2 linked regions of the Notamacropus eugenii genome follow. The protein of the gene in region 1 binds, or shares a complex with, the protein of each later gene. Links are inferred from orthologs where the notes say so. Each region holds a gene or a part of one and is shown in the gene's direction. Other genes may lie near its edges.

What was found. The genes of interacting proteins can lie anywhere in the genome.
Region 2: POLR1C (region 1) and POLR2L share a complex: the UniProt entries of both Homo sapiens proteins name them as parts of the pol I pre-initiation complex. The link is inferred for Notamacropus eugenii from reciprocal best matches to the Homo sapiens genes POLR1C and POLR2L.

What each region holds. Positions count from the first base shown.
Region 1 is NC_092873.1:106,459,655-106,470,416, forward strand, and holds POLR1C (DNA-directed RNA polymerases I and III subunit RPAC1), read left to right. Parts: upstream 1-5,334; 5' UTR 5,335-5,514; coding exon 5,515-5,583; intron 5,584-5,667; coding exon 5,668-5,739; intron 5,740-6,860; coding exon 6,861-6,968; intron 6,969-7,234; coding exon 7,235-7,367; intron 7,368-7,441; coding exon 7,442-7,561; intron 7,562-7,854; coding exon 7,855-8,007; intron 8,008-8,155; coding exon 8,156-8,305; intron 8,306-8,621; coding exon 8,622-8,738; intron 8,739-8,943; coding exon 8,944-9,062; 3' UTR 9,063-9,449; downstream 9,450-10,762. Other genes in the region: protein YIPF3, read right to left, coding at 136-259, 494-607, 747-878, 1,087-1,179, 1,436-1,481, 2,530-2,636, 2,867-3,067, 5,143-5,223. UniProt on the Homo sapiens protein: DNA-dependent RNA polymerase catalyzes the transcription of DNA into RNA using the four ribonucleoside triphosphates as substrates.
Region 2 is NC_092873.1:27,457,875-27,466,934, forward strand, and holds POLR2L (DNA-directed RNA polymerases I, II, and III subunit RPABC5), read left to right. Parts: upstream 1-4,299; 5' UTR 4,300-4,392; coding exon 4,393-4,487; intron 4,488-4,596; coding exon 4,597-4,705; 3' UTR 4,706-4,839; downstream 4,840-9,060. Other genes in the region: CD151 antigen, read right to left, coding at 6,002-6,061, 6,143-6,229, 6,412-6,570, 6,716-6,820, 7,147-7,221, 7,937-8,128, 8,809-8,892. UniProt on the Homo sapiens protein: DNA-dependent RNA polymerase catalyzes the transcription of DNA into RNA using the four ribonucleoside triphosphates as substrates.

The sequences.
Region 1 (10,762 bases):
AGCCTCAGGAAGTAAAGGAAGAGCATGAGGGGAGGAAACAGGGTTAGGGCAGGGGCCCCCTCCCTCCCCCTGCTGTTCTGGAGCTAAACTAGAAAAAGCAGCTAAGAATCACTCCCAACACTGCCCATGACTTACCCTCCACAACTTTGTGGTAGGCAAAGTGCAGGTAGAGTAAGAAGAGCATGTGCAGGGTGGCAAGGGTCCCGCAAAGAAGCAGTCGCTGTGTGGGACCCACAGTCCTTGACACTAGCACCGCCACCTGGGGCCACAACAGATGTCACAGTTCAAATAAACCCAGCCCAGCCTGGGACAAACATCGTGGGCAGGAAGGACAGCTGGGGGGGTAGGGGTGGAGGGGGAGCTGAATGACCTCCCTTCAGGTCCTAGACTTTGGTGGGTTGGGGTAGGGATGGGAGAATCCACCCACTCATGAGCCACACTGAGATTTGTGCCCATACTTGGGCTTCTTCTCAAACCCCTCACCCCCACTCACCATGCGCAGGGTGGACAACCCACCCACCAACAGCCAGAAGAGATAGAAGAGGGCATGAAGATGGATGTTGTAGGTGATAAAGAGAACAATGCAATGTCCAAAGAGTCCATAGCCCTGAGGGATGAGAAGAGGAGATGGCATTTGGTGGCAGGCCCCAGAACCTCCCAATTCCACCCCAGGGCTGGCTAAGGGTAAGTGCTAGAGAGGCTGCTCTGTCTGCTACTGCCCTCCCTCCCCACTCAGGCCCTCTTACCAGCAGTGCCAGCATCTGGAGCATGGTGATCTGTGCATTACACAAGTAAGCCAAAAAGTAAATGAAGGATGAGACGCCCAGCCAGTAGCCAAAGCAGGTGCCAATGGCAGTGCCCATCAGGGTACCTTCCCGCTGGGGTAGGGGAAAGAGGAGGGGAGGATTGATTTAACCACATAGGGTCTCCCACTCCCACCTCTCTCAAGAGTCTGAGTCCCATTCAGTTAGCTCTTCTGAAGCCATCAAGTCCCAGGGTTTCCCACTTCATCTGTGATACCCTGGAGCTCAACAGGGCAACCCTGGAGAGTTCTTCCATTAGTTTCCACCCCCCTCATCTGCTTACGATAATGGTATCAGACGTCTTCATCCCATGGAGAAGAATGGCAACCAGGGTGAACACCAGCATGAGAGGCCCATAGAGTTCGCCAGCAATTTTCTGTGGAGACACTAGGTCAGCTTGGGAAGTTCAAATGACTGCTTCCCTTCTACTTCTGCCCTCACAGGCCCCTAACTGTTCTCTGGGAGCTCTTTCCCGAGTCCTGGGCCAGGTTTCCCACCCTTCCTCTCAGTGGTTTTGCCCAGGCCTTCCAAGCTCCAGCACATTCTAACCACTGCTCCTTCCTGGGCTATCATTTTCTACTTGGGAACGGTGCTGGGGACATCAAGTGACAAAAGGGATCATTAGCACATACCTGGGGAAAATTGACCATCTTGACAGGGATCATGGACTCCAGGAGCCTATAAGATAGGAGGTTTGAGAGTAGGGCAGGGTTGCGGGTAACTTTTTCTAGGAGGGATCTCTTTCTTCCACTATTCACTGTCACCAGGAGGGGAAAGTATTTGAGGATGATTGGGTCCACGGGAAATAAGGAGATCTTGGAGAGGTCTAGCAGGGGGACTGCGAAATTGTGGACTGCATTAAAAGTGTGTTTATGTTATTGGGGGTAGGAGGTGTCTAATGTTACTGAAAAATGATTCTCCTGTTTTCCCTAGACCAGGGATGGGGAACCTGTGGCCTTGAGGACATATGTGGCCCACTTAGTCCTCAAGTACAGCTCTTTGACCGTTCAGAAAAATTTTTTCTGTGATGTTTGGATTCTGTCAAAGATGTGTAAAGGCCATATATGACCTCAAGGCCACAGGTTCCCCATCACTGTTAGGATTACTGTATTTAGAGTTGAAATGTACAATGCAGCTTAACACTTTCATTTTATGGATGAATAAAAAGGCTTGAGAGTCTAAAGGCCTTGTTCAAGTTTACAGTCCTACCTTTATGTCTTGATTAAAGTTTATGAAACACAACACACAGTCCTATAAGTAGGCAGGGCAAGAACTTTCCCTATTTTGCCAATTAGGAAACTGAGGCTCAAAGAAGTAAACTGACTTCCCCCAAATCTCAGAGCTACTTGGTATAAAAACCTAGATTTGAACCCAGATGCTCTTTCCACTACTAGTCTCTTAACATTCTACGTTGTACTCATCTTAGGGGGTTGGGAGAAAGGCTGAGCACAGTAATGACTGTGATAGAAAGTGAAGAAAAATGAGGAGATGCAGGTAAACACCTTACCTCTCTCCTTTTAGAACCTGTGTGCTCTTGTGAAGAACCAGGTGGAGTGTGACCTTCACAGGCGCCCAGTTGGCCCTAAGATCAGGATTCTACTCATGACCCCCCCAAGACCTGGCCAAAGGGAGTTCATATGGGAATTAGGGAAGCAGAGACAGCACAGCTGCTGTTGTGGGCCTGGCCCGGGCCAGGGAGAGCAGCTAGGAGAAAGAAAACTCTTACCGGCTTCGAACTTGGGCAGGTTCCACATCAAAGTAAGGCCTGAGGATGTCGATATTAGCATAGAGGCTGAAGGCCTTGGAGGCCTGTCTCTTCCCTGCCTGCCACATCTGAGAGAAAGAGATAAAGCTGATCCACTGAGATTCTACTTTGGTTTCTAGAAACTAGCTTTAGGCTCTGTTGCTTTTTTCTCCATGGAAAAAATTGCAGATATCTTTCAGAAGAGGAGATTCTGATCTGACTGGCATGATACATCCTGCTTGAAGAAGGGGACACAAATAGAATAGCTGGGACAGAACCTTGCTTCTCCTTAGCCTGCTAGAAGCTCAGTATTACTTACTTGATCAGCCACTTGTCGACTCAGCTGTCCTTTGAAGCCCTTCATTCCCAGGAATTCTCCATCTTCCTCCTCAGCAGCAGCTGCATCAGCATCTACCTCTTCTTCACGGAGCCGCTGGTGAAGCTCCCCCATATCTTCAAAGCTAGATCCTGATGTGTCGTCCATGTTCTCCATGTCAATCACTGCTGAGCCTCCACCCTGCTGGTCAAAGGAATGGTTTGTATCTGAACCAGACTGACTCTGCCTGGTACTCACATCTCATCAGTACTCTCCATCCCATGATGGGACCCTGATGTCTGGAAGGCAGGGCCATGGGCTTCTGTTTAAAGGAGAGAAAGGTGTGTGTGCTCGTGAGGCACAGCAGTTTTTCTCTCTTTTTCCTACTTTGGGACTTCACCTCAGGTACCTCTCCCTGCTGTCAGCTTCCTTTTGTGTGTTGTCTTTCTGTATTAGATCACAAGCTCCTTGAGGACAGGAGCTGTCTTCCCCAGTGCTGTGCTAAGCATTTAATAAATATCTAATAGCAGACTGATCTTTCTGATCCATCCATTCAGCTAAATAACACTGTTCCTCTTTTCCTCATCTGAAGATTGGGGTTGTGGGTGGAATGAGGAAGGGGCTTTGTCCCGCAGTTGTTAAGACTTAGTGGTTTTCCTAAAACGTAGATCTAGTTATGATTCTGAGTACACACACGTGCATATGCATGCACACACACACACAGACACAAAGAGCTCCAAAACTCTCCTACTGCTCTTAAAAACAGTACAAAAAATCCAGCTGGCATTTCAAGTCCTCCACAATCTGGTTCCACCTTCCTTTCCAGGCTTATTTCATATTATTCCCATTCATATACTCCTTTTAACAACAAACTGGACTGCTATTTCCATAGCATTGCACTTCTTGCCTTTGTAACTTTTGCACAATTGCACCTCATGTTTGGTAGCCCTCTTTCTTTGCCTCCAGCTTGCTATACCTCCAGTTTCCTTCAAAGCTCAAGTGAGCTGTCACTTCCTTGATTCTTTTTCTGTTCCCTTTAATTATTAGCCCTCTTCCTCTTAGAATTACTTTTTATTTACAAAAACTAAAAATCTATTCTTAACCACATCCCCCCCTCCATCCAATAAGAATGAAATTTTTGTGAGGATGAGGACGGTATCATTTCTCTCTTTGTGTCCCTAATGCCAAGGGCAGTGCCTTGCATTTTGCATAGTGCATAGTGAGCATTCTGTCTGAAATGAACCTTTCTGTCTCTCCCAACTCTAGCAGTTTGCTGTAAAATTTTGAGACTTCTCAGGCTCAAGTTCTACTTTCCAGCCAGACAAACTCGCTTCTTGTCCTCTACCCATCTCTTTCTCTCCATTGAGGACAGAGAATGAGTTCCCCAAGAACATTTTCTCCCCCAACCTTTCCCCCTCAACAAACAGAGGCAAAAGAGGCTCCCTTATCAGATCCCATGCTCTGCTGTTGCTCCCTAGGACCTAAGTTCCAGAATACATTCTTGGTATGTTTCCACCCATGTCGAAGCACTCTCTACACCCGGAATGCCGTCCCTTCCTGGGTTGCTATCCTTCGAGGTCCAGTTTAAATGCTGTCTGATCTCCGCAACGACTTTCCATCTGCTTAATCTGTACACGTATCATACACTTCCTTGTCCTTCATCCCGAGGAAAGTTTTTTCTCTATTTGGCCGGCATCTTTCATGGAATTGCCTGGAATCTACTCTGAAATTGACACGGTTCCTTAGGTGCAAGTACTTAATTTCGAACTTCTCTGAATCTCCCTGAGTATATATGTATACTAAAGGCTCCGAACAAACGTGCTGAAGGAGCGAGTTCATCCTCCCCCCTGGGTGGCCAGGGCGAGGCCAGCCCACTGCTCGCCCGAGCGCTCGGGCCACGCTGCGGCCTGGCCACCGACTTCCCGGCTGGGGGGTCTCCAGCTCCAAGCTCCACAAGGGCCCGAGAAGGAGAAACAGGGGCCGCCCAAGGGGCAGGTTCAGGCTGGAAGTGCAGATGAATCCCTCGGCTCTGCCTGCCTCAGTGGCCTCCCTTTCTGGCTCTGTTTCCTCCTCTGTAAAACGAGGGCACTGAACTGCATGGTTTCCAAGGTGCGCCTCCAATTCTAAACCCCAGCACCCGGCAAGGGACTGGAAGGGGGAGATCGCAAACGCGGAGAGAGAACCTGCGTCCTCGGAGGCGGGGGGCAGCCACGAGGACCCCGCGAGGGATCTGTCGGCCTTCAGGCCGCCCAGTCCGGGGAGGCGTCTAGGGCCATTACCTGGATATTCTCCTCGAAGCCCCCCCACTCTGGGGAGGCCCCGTTCCGGGTACCTCCTGCCGGGGCCACCGGGCTTGCCATGTCCCTCGAAGGATCCCGTCACTCGGACTCGCGCAACTACTGCGCGAAGGGGGGAGGGCCCGGCCCCCGGGAGTGAAGGTGGAGTCGGGGAGACGGGCGTCCCCCCACCGTGGGATGCTCCAAAAGGAAGACGACCGGATGTTTAGGCGACTCCACCCGGAAGCTGTAGACGTGGAAACAAGCAGGTCCACTCTGTCTCGCGAGACGTAGGGGCCGCTTGTCGCCACGGCGACGACGCGAGAAGGCTTGTACGCGTGCGCGGTGGGCGCCCGGTTGTCACGTGGAGCTAGGATGGCGGCCTCCGGAGCGGTGGAGGAGATGCGGAGCCGCGTGGTGCTCGGGGAATTCGGGGTCCGAAACGTAAGGCTCGAGTGACGAACTGGGCCGGGATCCGTACGGAGGAAAGGGTCCCGGCCTCCAGCCTCACGTGCACCTCTGCTTTAGGTTCATACCACGGACTTCCCGGGAAATTACTGCGGCTACGATGATGCGTGGGACCAGAGCCGCTTCGAGAAGGTGAGGGAGGCCCGGTGCGGGGGGGAGCTGGTGAGGGGAGGCCCGGTGCGGGGGGAGCTGGTGAGGGAGGCCCGGTGCGGGGGGAGCTGGTGAGGGAGGCCCGGTGGGGGGGGGAGCTGGTGAGGGAGGCCCGGTGGGGGGGGAGCTGGTGAGGGAGGCCCGGTGGGGGGGGGAGCTGGTGAGGGGAGGCCCGGTGGGGGGGGGAGCTGGTGAGGGGAGGCCCGGTGCGGGGGGAGCTGGTGAGGGGAGGCCCGGTGGTGGTGGGGAGCTGGTGAGGGGAGGCCCGGTGGGGGGGGGAGCTGGTGAGGGGAGGCCCGGTGGGGGGGGGAGCTGGTGAGGGGAGGCCCGGTGGGGGGGGGAGCTGGTGAGGGGAGGCCCGGTGCGGGGGGAGCTGGTGAGGGGAGGCCCGGTGCGGGGGGAGCTGGTGAGGGGAGGCCCGGTGCGGGGGGAGCTGGTGAGGGAGGCCCGGTGGGGGGGGAGCTGGTGAGGGGAGGCCCGGTGGGGGGGAGCTGGTGAGGGAGGCCCGGTGGGGGGGGAGCTGGTGAGGGGAGGCCCGGTGGGGGGGGAGCTGGTGAGGGAGGCCCGGTGCGGGGGGGGGGGGGGGAGCTGGTGAGGGGAGGCCCGGTGGAGGGGGAGCTGGTGAGAGGAGGCCCGGTGGGGGGGGGAGAGCTGGTGAGGGGAGGCCCGGTGGGGGGGGGAGAGCTGGTGAGGGGAGGCCCGGTGGAGGGGGAGCTGGTGAGGGAGGCCCGGTGGGGGGGGAGCTGGTGAGGGGAGGCCCGGTGGGGGGGGGAGCTGGTGAGGGGAGGCCCGGTGGGGGGGGAGCTGGTGAGGGAGGCCCGGTGCGGGGGGAGCTGGTGAGGGGAGGCCCGGTGGGGGGGGGAGCTGGTGAGGGGAGGCCCGGTGGGGGGGGGAGCTGGTGAGGGGAGGCCCGGTGCGGGGGGAGCTGGTGAGGGAGGCCCGGTGGGGGGGGAGCTGGTGAGGGAGGCCCGGTGGGGGGGGGAGCTGGTGACGGGAGGCCCTGGGAGGGCAGGGGCCCCAAACACCCAGCCTGCGCCGGGAAGGGAATGTGGGAATCTTAGGGCCCTTTTCCTCACAGACCCTTTGCTCCCCCATCCTTTCAGGAGTTCCGCGTGGATGTGGTGCACATGGATGAAAGCTCGCTGGAATTTGATATGGTTGGGATTGATGCTGCCATTGCCAACGCTTTTCGGAGGATCTTATTAGCTGAGGTGGTGACGGCGATAGTGACGGTGTTGTGGGCAGGAGGGCAGAGAAGCTGACAGGAGGGAACCACCCTGTCCTAGCCACATTGAACTACTTGGGCTCATTTTTTTGCAGCTCTGTATATTTATTTCCTTGTGGTTGCTTATGCTTGTTCCCTCCCAGGTTCTTTTTTGGAAAGTAGTCAGTCCTTAGAAACATAGGTGGAGGAGAAGATCTGTTGTGTTATATATATATATATCTTTCTAAGGATCAGTATCATTTCTGTATCTAGGTTCCAACCATGGCTGTGGAAAAAGTCTTTGTGTACAACAACACATCCATCGTTCAGGATGAGATACTGGCCCATCGTTTGGGACTCATTCCCATTCATGCAGACCCCCGGCTTTTTGAGTACCGGAACCAAGGTAGGAGAGTGGAGGCTTGTAGAGGGGAGAGGTTGTGACTTGGTGTGATGGCGCTCTTGCTCTGTCATGTGCAGGTGATGAAGATGGCACTGAGATAGATACGTTGCAGTTTCAGCTGAAGGTCAAATGTACCCGTAATCCTCAAGCTGCCAAAGATTCCTCTGATCCCAATGAACTTTATCTCAATCACAAAGGTGAGTAATGACAGGGTCAGGGAAACAAAGGTGCAAATCCAGCTCCTTTACTTATATGATCTTAGGTAAATTAGCTTTTAAGCCCCAGTCTACTCATCTGTAATTTAAATGGTTTGAACTATATGGTCTTTTATAGCTGTAAATCCAGTGATGCTTGAGGAAGTGGGAGGAGTATCTGCCACTATTATTAGACCATAAATTTAAGAGCTTAGAACTAACCACAGAGGCCATCTAGGCCCTCAGTAACACTTCCCTCCTAAATTTTAACTGACATTCTTCGTCTCATCCTGTAGTGTACACAAAACACATGACGTGGATACCCCTGGGAAACCAAGCGGATGTTTTCCCAGAAGGCACTATTCGTCCTGTGCATGATGACATTCTCATTGCTCAGCTACGTCCTGGCCAAGAGCTTGACCTCCTCATGCACTGCGTTAAAGGCATAGGTAAGGATTGTTGGGTGCTAGTCCAACTATGTTGGGGGTGGGGGGAAAGGGCCCTGAAATTTTTGGATTGGAAATGTTAATGGTAGTGCAGTGTAAAGCATGGAAGATGAGGGGGTTGATAAGGGGTATCTCTGCTTTTCCTCTCCAGGCAAAGACCATGCAAAATTTTCTCCTGTAGCCACTGCCAGTTACAGATTATTGCCAGATATCACTCTCCTCCAGCCAGTAGAGGGGGAAGCAGCTGAGGAGCTGAGTCGATGCTTTTCACCTGGTGTTATTCAGGTGCAAGATGTCAAAGGTATCTGTAGAAAGGGATGCTCACATCCCCATGTCTTAAAAACCTTGAAGACACTTCTCAGTTGAAAGATAATTTTTTTTCCCTCAGGATTCTTAAACTTACATCATCTTGTTCATAGCAGGCATCTAATGATTGTAATATCGTTCATTTCTCATCATAACACCCTGCTCTGGAACATTTATGAAGCATGATTACAAAGTGTTGAACACATATAATTCAGTTGAAGAAGGCCTTAGAGCTCCGATCGTGCTTATGTGCTTAATTAAATCAATTTTGCTTCTTCTAACAGAACTGGTAATGTGGTTTATTTTATCAGGAAAGAAAGTAGCCATAGTTGCCAACCCCCGTCTGGATACCTTCAGCAGAGAGATCTTTCGTCATGAAAACCTGAAGAAGTTGGTGCGGCTGGCCCGAGTACGGGATCACTACATATGTGAGTATTGGGGAGGGGGAAGTAAAAGTGATATGGGAGTAGCCTGAAAACCACTCTCCCACAACCTGGCAAAAGGATTTCCTTTCTCCCTGCAGCTTAATACTGTATATTGTCTTCTATAATTGAGCTTTTTACAGGTGGGGTCTCTTTTCTATTTGTATTCCTAGCATGCATACTGAAGTTCTTAAATATATTTACATTACAGTCTCAGTGGAATCAACAGGTGTCTTGCCTCCTGAGGTTCTAGTGAGTGAAGCCATCAAAGTTCTAATGGGAAAATGTCGGCGCTTCATGGATGAATTGGATTCAGTTCAGATGGACTGAATTATCTTGCAGCAACTTAGTGGAGACAACACCTGGATGGCAAGATGGGTTGCTTTGTGGGGATGCTTCACTCTATCCAAAAATTGTCTTATGATTCCTGAACAGGCTGGCTACCTAAAAGACTCCTAAGAAAACATCAGTGGGTGTGGAGTTGTGATCTAAATGCCAACACAGCCTTCTTGATTGCTTTTTTGAAGTGTCAGCTGTGCAGTGAAAAGATCTGTCATACCGTTTGCAATAGTATCTGGTTAATAGAGTGTGTTCCAAAGTCAGTGAGGAAAGGGGAGGAAGGACAAACAGCATAAAGAACAGCCTTGAGGTGCCATGTGTAGTAGCATATAGTATGAGAAAGGCAGCTTGTATATTAAAGTTGTGTATCAAACTCAATTTTTTTTTTACTGACATGCAGAAATATGCCTCAGAGTTAATGTTTCTACAAAAAGGCTCTAAAAACAATAAAAAAACTAGCATGAAATCACAAGATGTTAAAAAATACCACAACACAATAAATACAACTGTTCCCTTCATGGCCCCAACCACACACAAGTATAAAGCGTTCCACTGAGGCAGTAGTCAAAGCTAGTAGAGAAGGCATGTTCCAAAACTGACCATGTGGTCAACAGAAAAACTTTAAAAATACAACAGAACACTTGAATGTGTGGAGGACAACAGGAAGTCTGTGCAATACAGATAGATACACTGGATGTGAAACCCCTTCTCCCAGCTTTCCCTTGTTCTCTATCCTATGGATCCACGAACTACAGAATCCTCTTGCCAAATATGCCCAGCTCATTTTGGATTTAGATTTTAGAGGAGGCCTGGATCTTTATTTACCCTTTGTTATAACTCTAGACTGGATTTCCAAAACTACGGGCAGCTCTCATGAGCCCTGACTGAATGGTGGTATTTATGTGGATAATGTCCAGTAGGCAGTTGAAACATCAGAAGCCATGAACTTATTAAAGGCACCTGAACTAGGCTATATGGGAATCAAGCCACAAGGGGTAAGTCATGGGGAGAAAAGGCCAATGGGTTTAGCCAGCTCCTAGGAATAGATGCTGCCTAGTTTTGTCAATAATCTTGGATGCCCACAAAGCACCTGAGCATCAAGTGAAATGGTTAGGGATTGTGGCTATTGCTCCTATGGAACCCTTGCTAATAAGGGAGTGACATCTGCTAGTCATTAGTGATGAGGCGGCTTCCCAAGGGGCCCTGAGATGAGGACTTGGGATTGGCCAGTCTCTGAAGGGATCTTGTTCTTGGCTGTAGCCACTTGCAGACAGTCTATACCCCTCCTAGTATTCAAGATGCCATGCATGCACTTCAATTACCATCCTCCCAATCCAGCAAAACAAAACAGGTCTGCCTCCCACTTCCCATTCCCCCAGCATGTGAGTTGAAGTTGCCAAGAAAAGCCATACACACCAGTTTCTGTGCCTGTAGCGCAGCCACAAACTGGTGGCAGTGCTTGCTGAATTCGAATGAAACAGACCCCAACCCCATACTCTACATATGTTGCATAAAAGGTAGTTGGAAAGGGAAAAATGACAACAAGGAACTATGGTTCTGCTCATGGCTTCTCTTGAAAATGCTCAGATACGGAGCTCTGAGTGGGTTAGGAGACATCTTGGGAGAACTAGACAATAACGTAAGTCCTAACTCCCCTGGAAATGACACCAATGCGATTGCTTCTGGCCTCT
Region 2 (9,060 bases), about 79 Mb from region 1:
CATGTGAAGGGGAAAGGAAGGAGCATTTATTTACCCTGCTCTGTGGCAGGCAGTGTGCCAAGATGCGCTGTAGAACACAATTTCCTAAGAAATGCCATATCCTGCAAAGCCCAGAGAAGGCTCAGAGACACAGGAGCCTGCCAGCCCCACCTTCCCATTCCATGGCTGGGAAAATTGAGGCTCCAAGAGGCGGTATGGGGATGTGGATGGGCAGGGAAGAGGAAAGAGGATCCATCGAGCGGGGATCGGTGCGGGGGGAGGGATGGGGGTCCTTAAAACAGGATGCACACCCGGGGAGGGGTAGACTGGGGTCTTCCAGGAAGGAAGCTGGGGGTTGTAGCTGCAGATCCTCCCCCACTCCATCCCTGGGAGTGCACAGTGACTGGAACCAGCCTCTGCATGTCCTCACGGGGAGCCACCTGGCCTCTAGCTCCCTCAGTAAGGGCTTAGCCCACACCCAAACATGGGAGGCATTCCGTGGATGCTCCATGGACTTACAACCCCCAAAAGCTGCCCACCCCCACAGTCCTAGGAGGGTCGGGGTTGGGAACATTCTCCCAGGCTTTCTCGCCTGCTGTCAGGGCCTGACCTGGGTGTGTACTGCTGTGCATCTGGGGGACCAGGGTTGGGCTACACCCATCAGGGCAGGCCAATGAAGCAGCTAGAAAGCAGGATGGTAAACAGGAATGCTTTGGGCTCCACTTGGTCCAAGGTTCTACAGCAGAGGAATGGCTGCTTCCCCAGACCCAGGAGCCTGGCAAAGTACTGGAGGATGGAGGGAGGGTGGGTGAGAACTCCCTGCCTGCTGCAGTCTGAAGACAGCCCCCAAGGGCATTTGGGGGGGGCCAGCATGGGAGGAGGACCCCAGAGGAGTCTTGTCTAGAGATGACCTCAGGGGCAGCCCTGCCCCCAAACCCACCAGACAGCATGGGGCAGGGCAAGCTCAGGGTCAGGCCCTGCACTCCCCTCTCTCTGGCCCTTCATCTGCTCCCTTGGGCTCCTGAGCTCCAAGCCTCCCTCACCAAGGTGGCCAGTAGGCATTTCCAGGCAGATGCAGATGGAGTTTATGATACCCCCCACGGCACTCTCCCCCTTCCCACAGCTCCCAGAATCCATACTTGGTGCTGCTCTGAACTCTTCCTCTTACACCCTCCCCCCAAAAAATGGAATCAGACGACAGATCATGCTTAGTCTGTCTCTAGCTGCATCCTGGTGTCTAGGATGAAGCAAGCGATTAGTAGGTGCTTCCTGCTGCCCCTGTGACCCTCTACCAGTGCACAGGACCTCCCTGACTTCCCCCCTCCCCATACTTCAGCAGTGGTCTCTCCCTGCCTCCAGCACCCTCTCTGATCCTCTCCAATCCGCTTTCCACATATCTGACCCCAGAGGGTAAGTCTGACCAGTCACTCCCCACCAGTTAGGGGCTGAAATACTTAAAAAGTGTGTCCCAGCAGCATCAGAGGCAGGGCAAGGCCCTCCCTCCCTGCTTTGTAACAGGCTCCAGTAACTCCACAGGAAAACTGGCACCTCAGGTACACCACATGAGCTCCAACCCCTACCCCTTTGCACTGGCTGGCCCCCAGGCCTGGAAGATTCTCTCTCCTCATTCCCCCCTTGTGGGATGGCCAGCTGCCTGTCAGGCTCCCCTGCCCCTTCCTCTGTATGTGTCTTCCTGTATCTGTTCCCCAGAGCTGGCAGGGAACTAGTCCTTCCTGTTTTGCATGTGGGTGGTCTCTCCTAGACAGAAGCAGGGACGCTGGATCCCCATCTCTGTGATGTGACTCTTAGCATGTATTTGCTGGCACATAGTAGGTGCTGCGAATGACTGAATGCCTGGGAATCTGGATCTACCCCCCTCCCAGTATGAGCCCCCCAGGGGGTGGAAGGCCTGGGGGAAGAGAAGACAGGGAAAGGGGAAAGGAAAGGGGAGAGGGAGAGAGAGGGAGGGAGAGCATGGCCCTTCATAAAGGCTGACCCTGGTCCAACAGAATGTCCCCTATCTTTTAGATGACCTTAGAGAAGTCCCTTCACCCTGTCTGGCCTCCCATACAAGGAGGGGCTTGAGCAAATAAAGTGAGATCCTTTCTAGCCCTCAAATCTCAAGTCCAGTCCTGCCCCCACCTCCACCCTCTAAGGGACCCATAATGCCCCTTTGAGGGAGGAAAGCCATGCCCCCAGTTGCAAGCCCCCCCATGACTAAGCAGGCCAAGGGCCCCCTAACCCTGCATCTTCTCCATCCTGTGATGCCTTTGCCTGAGGATCTCCACAGATCAGAAACCAGCAGCCAGCTAAGCATCCCACTGAGGAGAGGGAGGTCGGCAGCCCCAGCCCTCCCTGTGGGCCCCCCCCCACTGTGGGTTAGCATTTTCCAGGCCCCGAAATCCTGGAGCCTGGTTCAGTCATTAAAAAGCAGATGGCAAGGCTAAGCCCAGCCCTCAGAGACCCCCTCCCTCCTGGCCTGTCCCGGGGCTTCTTCCAGCCCTGCTCTGGCACAAGGCAGCCAGGGCCCCCCAACCCCCACCCACCCCCAATAGCCAGCCTTATGGGGCATCCCTGCCCCTCCTCTGGCGCCAGGATCCCCGAGGCTTAGAACAGATGTCGGCCCTCCCCACCTCCCAGGGGTTCCCCAGTTGTGGCCTGGGATTAGGTCCCCGAGAGCGGAACTAGAAGCGGGGGCAGATACTCCCATCGAGGAGGCCTGGGCTGGGCCGGAACAGGGAAGCAAGCAACCTCCCGAAAACCAAGTGCCGGGTTCTGCGCTACCCTCGGCTCAGAACCGGGCTGTGATCTCCCCGCTTTTCGGGACTAGGGTCTCTACCCTGCCCCCTCAGGCCCAGGAAACCACCTTTAACCCCGCTTTATCCCGGGGTGCCGTCAGGGTCCCCCTCCACATCTATGTGCAGACCCAAGGGCGGACCCTCCTGGCTGGCTGGGGGAGAGCGCCTGGGGATGCCCGGAGGGAAGGGGGCAGAAGAGATGGGGAGAGGGGAGAGGAGGGAGGGGGAGGGGGCAGAGGGGCATCGGCTCCTCCTCCCTGAGCTGCCCGGGGGGGGATCTGAAGCCACTTACCTGAGCCCAGGAGCTCAGGTGCCCCTCGGGCCAAGCAGGCTCCCGCGGGTCTGGGAGCGGCAGGCTGGGATCCCGCCAGGATCGTACGGGACGAGGGGGCAGGACGCACTGGGCTGGACTGGACCGGACTGGACCTGACGGGACAGGGAGGGATAGATGCTAGCCTGCAAAGCAGGGCAGAGTCCGGCATCAGCGCCGCCGCCCGCTCCAGCTCCCCAAAGAGGACGGGGCACCTCGTGGGACTGGCCTGGAGGCCCCCCCACCTCGTGCATCTGAAGTCAATCAGCCAGCGGGGACCCGCGGGAGGTGGGGGGCGGCTCCGGGGGTCGGGCCAGGCTGGTACGCGAGTTGGGGGAGGGGACGAGGAGGAGCAACGGAGCCTCCCCCGGCCATGGGGGGACGTTCCTGAACCCGAGATGCAGGCCACAATAATGACCCCGGGGGGCAGGGGCCGGAGCAGGGAGAACTCGGGATCCTCCCGTCAACCCAGTCCTGGAGAAGGTGGAGGGAGGTCCCCGAGGTCAGCACGTCCATTCCCCAGACTCCGAGCCTCACAGAAAATACGAAGGGCTGTCGGCACCAGAGGCGGCCAGCCGCCTTCCTCCCCCTCATCCCCCGTAGCCCCGAGCCCCAGCCAGCCAAGACGGAAAGTTTCCCCTAAGTCCCGGGGCCAAAACCTGGCCCGTGGCCCCGTTGGCGCTCCGCAAGCAACAGGTTCCAGCCACCGCGCGCGCTCCAGGCGGCGGCGCCTCCACCAGTTGCACCGTCTAGGGCCGGGGTGGTCGGCCAGGCTCTGGAAGCTCCCGGAGCCCACCTTGAGAGAGAATGAGCGAGCTACGTACGCGCGGGCGGAGGCGGCCACGACGGCGGCGGCTTAGGCTCGGCCTCGCCTTGGGACTCTTAAGTGCAGACGCCGCCGCCGCCGCCGCCGCCGCCGCCCAGCTGTCACTCAAACCCAGCGCGAGAAACGCGCCCGGGCTCCCGCCAGGCTCTTTTGGCCTGCGCGGGCCGCCGTAGCTTCGGGCGAGACCATCGGCGTTCCAGAGGGGAGATCCTGAGCGGAACCCACCCTCGTGCCGCCGCCGCGGCTTCTAGAAACCACGCGACTCGGGACCCCGGACGCAGAGGGCTAGAGGTGCGGGCCCGCGTAGAAAGCCCGGAGCCGGGCCGAGCCGCTTCCTGAGCCTACCCCCCCATTCGAGGCAATGGGAGCGGCCGGGGGGGCGGGGCTTCGGCGCCGGAAGCGGAAGCGGGGCGGAGAGAGGGAGGGCCAGAAGAGAAGGGACGTCTCGTCGCCGGTGCTGCCGTCTCCTCGCCCTCGCCATGATCATCCCGGTTCGCTGCTTCACGTGCGGCAAGATCGTGGGCAACAAGTGGGAGGCCTACCTGGGGCTGCTGCAGGCGGAGTACACCGAAGGGTAGGCGCCCCCGAGGGACTGCGAGGGTCCTAGTGGACCCCTGCAGCCAAGGCAGCGGGGGGGGCACGGACCGGGAGAGGCCAGCCCCCGACCTCACCGTCCTTTGCAGGGACGCCCTGGACGCGCTGGGCCTGAAGCGCTACTGCTGCCGGAGGATGCTGCTGGCCCACGTGGACCTGATCGAGAAGCTTCTCAACTACGCGCCCCTGGAGAAGTGAGCGGCCCGGGCCCCGGGCCCGAGCTTGGGCGAGCTGGGCCCGAGGCGGCCGGGATGCCGCGGGAGACCCCGGCCCTCCGGGGCCCAGCCTCAGCGCGTCTCCCTGGGAGCGAAATACACCCGTTCTTTAAGTGACTCCGTGCGTGGCCCCTTCAATCCAGAACACCAAACCAACGGGCGGGGAAGACCCTCAGGGGTCCTGGGCGAAGCGCCGAGGGCCCCTCCCTCCAGGAGCTGCGCGGAGCCCGGACGCTCCTTCTCACCCCGTCTCGCCCCCTTGGGACCGGGCCGGAGGCCCTGGGAGGGAGGGGCGGTTACAGATGCGGCGGCAGGCGGGTGGCCGGAGTCAGGATCCGGATCTCGGTCTTGTTACCCCCTGGCACCAATCCGCAGCCCCTCACAGGCACCGTCCTGCCCGCTACATGCTGCTGGGCATCCCAAGCCCACTGGGACCCAGCCTCCGGCCTGGCCTCCCACCCCTGCCCCAGGCCTCTTGGGGGTTAGGAACATGTGTTCCTCCAGGACATCGGATGTGTGGGCAGTTAGTAATGCATGTGGGCATTGGTACTGTCACCACACTCTGCTTCTTGCTCTGTCCTGGACATGGCCAGTCCAAGTGGCAGGGAGGGCAAAGGGGGCACCCTCCCCCCATCCCAGCCACACCCCCAAGAAAAGGACCAGCTGATGGATGGCCAAGAGAGGGCTTTACTTAAACATCCCAAGTCTTAGACAGTTGGAAGGCACCTCGGTGGTCCAAACCCTCCCACTCGCAACCAAATCTCTAACTGGCCCTGTGGGAGCCCGGACAAGCCTCAGGATTGCAGGGACCCTGGGCACCCGCACCTTCCCCCATAGCCTCCCCCAGGCAAGGGGAGGGGACACACCTTCCTCCCTAACACAGAAGGCACTGACAGTCTAACTGGGGCCCAGCTCAGGGCACTTGAACCCACCGGAGGGAACACAGGGCTGGGCCTATGAGGTCAGCCTAGAGACAAGGAGGCCCCCAGCCCTAAGCCAAGGGGCCCAGAAAAGGAGATCCTCCCAGCTCCATCCCTGCCGAGGCAGGGCTGGGCCTCCGGTGGATCAGGAGGGATAGGCTGCCGCCCAGCCTGACTGCCAGAGGGGGGTCAGTGTTTGGGGCTCAGACCTCCCCCCAGTCAGTAGGTTCTCCAGAGTAGTGTCACACTTGCCGTGAGTAGCTTGAGTACAAAAAGAGAGAGAAAGGTGGTAATAATTTAGTGTGGCGGTGGGCAAGACAACGCCCCTGTGAACGCACCCTGCCCCAGGCCAAAGGGCCTCAGTAATGCTCCAGCTTCAGGCTTTTGTACAGACAGCAGGTGAAAATCATTCCAAAGATCTGGGGAGGACACAGAGGAAGGAGGTTGTAGGGGGGCTGACAACACCCCCCCCATCCCTCCCCAGCTGGCCCGGGTCTCACCTGCACACCAGCAATGCCCAGACCCATGGCCCCAATGATGCTCAGGTGCTCCTGAATGAACTTCTCTAGTTTGGTGATGCAGCCTCCCTGGGGAAGGAAGCCTTCTGAGGAGGAGGTCCAAAGGCCCTGAATGCCACCTTGAGCCACACAGCCTCCAAGGAATTCTGGGGCCAGGACCCCCAGGCAGGCCAGTCAGGGGTGTGTAAGGTGGCAAACAGCACTCTTGGACAATCATTTTTCCACCTCCCCCTGCCCCAGCCCCCACCTACCTCCACTTTATAGATGTTGGATGCATGGTCTCGCTGCCCACAGCCTTCCACAATGGTCTTACAGCAGCTGTCAGGGAACTTCCTGCCCTCTGCTTCCCCAGACCGAATCCACACGCTATCCTGCCAGTCCCCAGAATTGTTGCTCCCACAGCAATGGAACTAAAGTGGGCGGCAAAGGGGAGGCCAGGGCTGGAGGGGGGCCAAGGCCGGGGCAGGGGCGGGGGGGGTTGTTGCTGGGGAAGGCCCAGAACAAGGTTATGGAGAGGCAGGCGGCGAGGACCAGGGGTCAGCTACGGACACTAACCTTCTGCTGCAGCTTGTCCACCGCCGTGGTCACCCCTTCATGGCCAGGCTGGTGGTACTTAAGGACCATGGTGTCCCTGAGGTTGTCCTTCAGCTCAGAGCTCAGCTAGAAGCAGGGGAGGGGGCAGGCCATGAACCCAGATCCCCAGGGAGGCAGCTCCACTGAGCCCATGGGCCAGTGCCACTCCTCCCTCCCTTGTTCTGGTCTCCATGCTTCAGTCTGTCCCTTGGGCACACTGATGCCAGATTGGGCACCAAGGTGACGTGGGCTGGTGGGTAAAGCCACTCTGGGAGCCAGGAAGGCCTGGGCTCAGCTCCAGCCCACAGCCCCTTCCCCTCTGAGGACCCCCAAACTCTCAGCTGAGAAGCTGCTGGAAAAGCCTCCTCTGGTCCCAGTGACCACCAGGGCCTAGCAGCCTTCCCCCAACTCACCTGCTGGTAGTAGACGTAAGCAAGGATGCCCGCGATGACCTCCAGCAGGAAGATGAGGAGGAGGAGGGTAAAGTACTGGGGGGGGAAGAGAAGGGATGAAGCCAAAGCCTGTCCAAGGGAGGGAGAGAGGAGTGCCCCCAAGGATGCCCCAGGGCAGGGGCACACACGCAAGGCTGGACACACCCAGGACTGAATAACAGTTCTCATGATCTCATGCTCACCTGAGCCAGAGAAGGCAGACAAAGGCCTCCTTCCTGGCATCCCCACCCCGGGAAGGCAGACAAAAGCCTCCAGTCTCCAGACACCACGAAGTCTTCCCCAGCCGAGGGTGGGGCGGGGTGGGGCGGGGCAGGGCGGAGCAGAGGAGACATGCAGGGAGTGTCCCAGGTTAGGGCTAACCCAAAAGGAGGAGGACAGAGGGTGCTAGGGGGTGCCACAGTGCATGGAGCACCAGGCCTGAAGGTGGGAAGACCCACCTCCTCCAGTTCAACTGTGGCCACTTACTAGCTGACCCTGTTGGCCTCAGTTTCATCTGTAAAATGGGTTGGAGAAGGAAATGGCAGACTACTCCAGCATCTTTGCCAGGAAAACTCCAAACAGGGTCACAAAGTTGGGTTCTGCTGAACAATCACTTACCCCCAGACACCTCGCCATCTGCCCCTTCCAAAAGGGCCAACCATAACTAGGTGGTGGCCCGCTGGCCTCGGCCACAACAGTGGGTTCTCCCTCAGTGGCATGGAATCCCCTCCCTTCCTGTCCCCAAAGGGACCTTGGGGGGGGGGGGACTCACCAGCCGAAGGAGATTCCTCCTCTCCTTGAAGGTGGCACAGCACCCCAGGATACCCGTCACCATGACCACAGCTCCAGCCACCAGCAGGATGTATGCCGTGGCCAGGTAAGTATTGGAGGCCAGGAGGCTGATATAGTCGCTCTTGAGGGCCAGTGTCCAGATGCCCACAGCCATAACGGACAGGCCAGTCAGCTGTGGGAACACAGACATCTACCATTCAGGGCCCCTGCTCCATCCCACCACATTGGAGGTACCAATGGATACAAGGGCTTTGGTCCTGGCCAACATGAAGGAGTGTCAAGAAAGCCCACCTCATTCCCCCGACCCCATCAGGAACCCAGGTGGGAAGCCCCAGCATAGCTATTCCATGACCCCAGGCAAATCAGCAGTGGCACTGGGGGTCCCAAGAAACCTCAGTTGCTTCATCTGTCAAGTGGGGACAGTAACATCTCTGTACTGAGATCATGGCTGGGCCACAAGTGTCCAGGAGTTAGAGGTAGAAGGCTCACCTGGGGAGCAGGAATGGTAAAGGACAGCAGGGTGACATTCCTATAGCCCCCTTTCTCCAAAGCATTTAACCCGGTGAGTGAGATCCCCATTTAACAGATGAAGGAGCTGAGGCACAAGAAATTAACAGCCCCTGCTAGCTAGTAACTGCCTAAGGGAGGCAAATGCAGGTTTCCCCCCAGCTCTGTGAGCCAAAGCAAGAAAGCAGCAGGGACACCCTCCCCCTCTGCAGACTGACTCATCAGTCTCCCCTCTGTCCTAGGAGACTGCTCCAGCCTCCCACTGCAGTTCTGCCCTGCTGTCCTCCGTCTGCCCCCCACCTTGGCCCTGGTCTTTCCCCCTCCCTCTGCGCTGGTCCATCTTACCCAGAAGCAGCAATTGAAGGTAAAGAGCAGGTATTTCAGGCAGATGGTACCACACGTCTCCTTCTTCTCGTTATACTCGCCCATCTTGAGAGCCCAGGGTGGGGAGAGAACCTCCTAAGTCAAAGGGGAGCCCTAAGGGAGTGCCAGCGCAGGTTAGGAAGACAGGCTCTGCCCCGACCAGACTCTAAACCCTTCACCCCAGGAGACACAACGAGAGGGATGGGGGGCAGCTGGATGGGGGCTGGGAGAGGT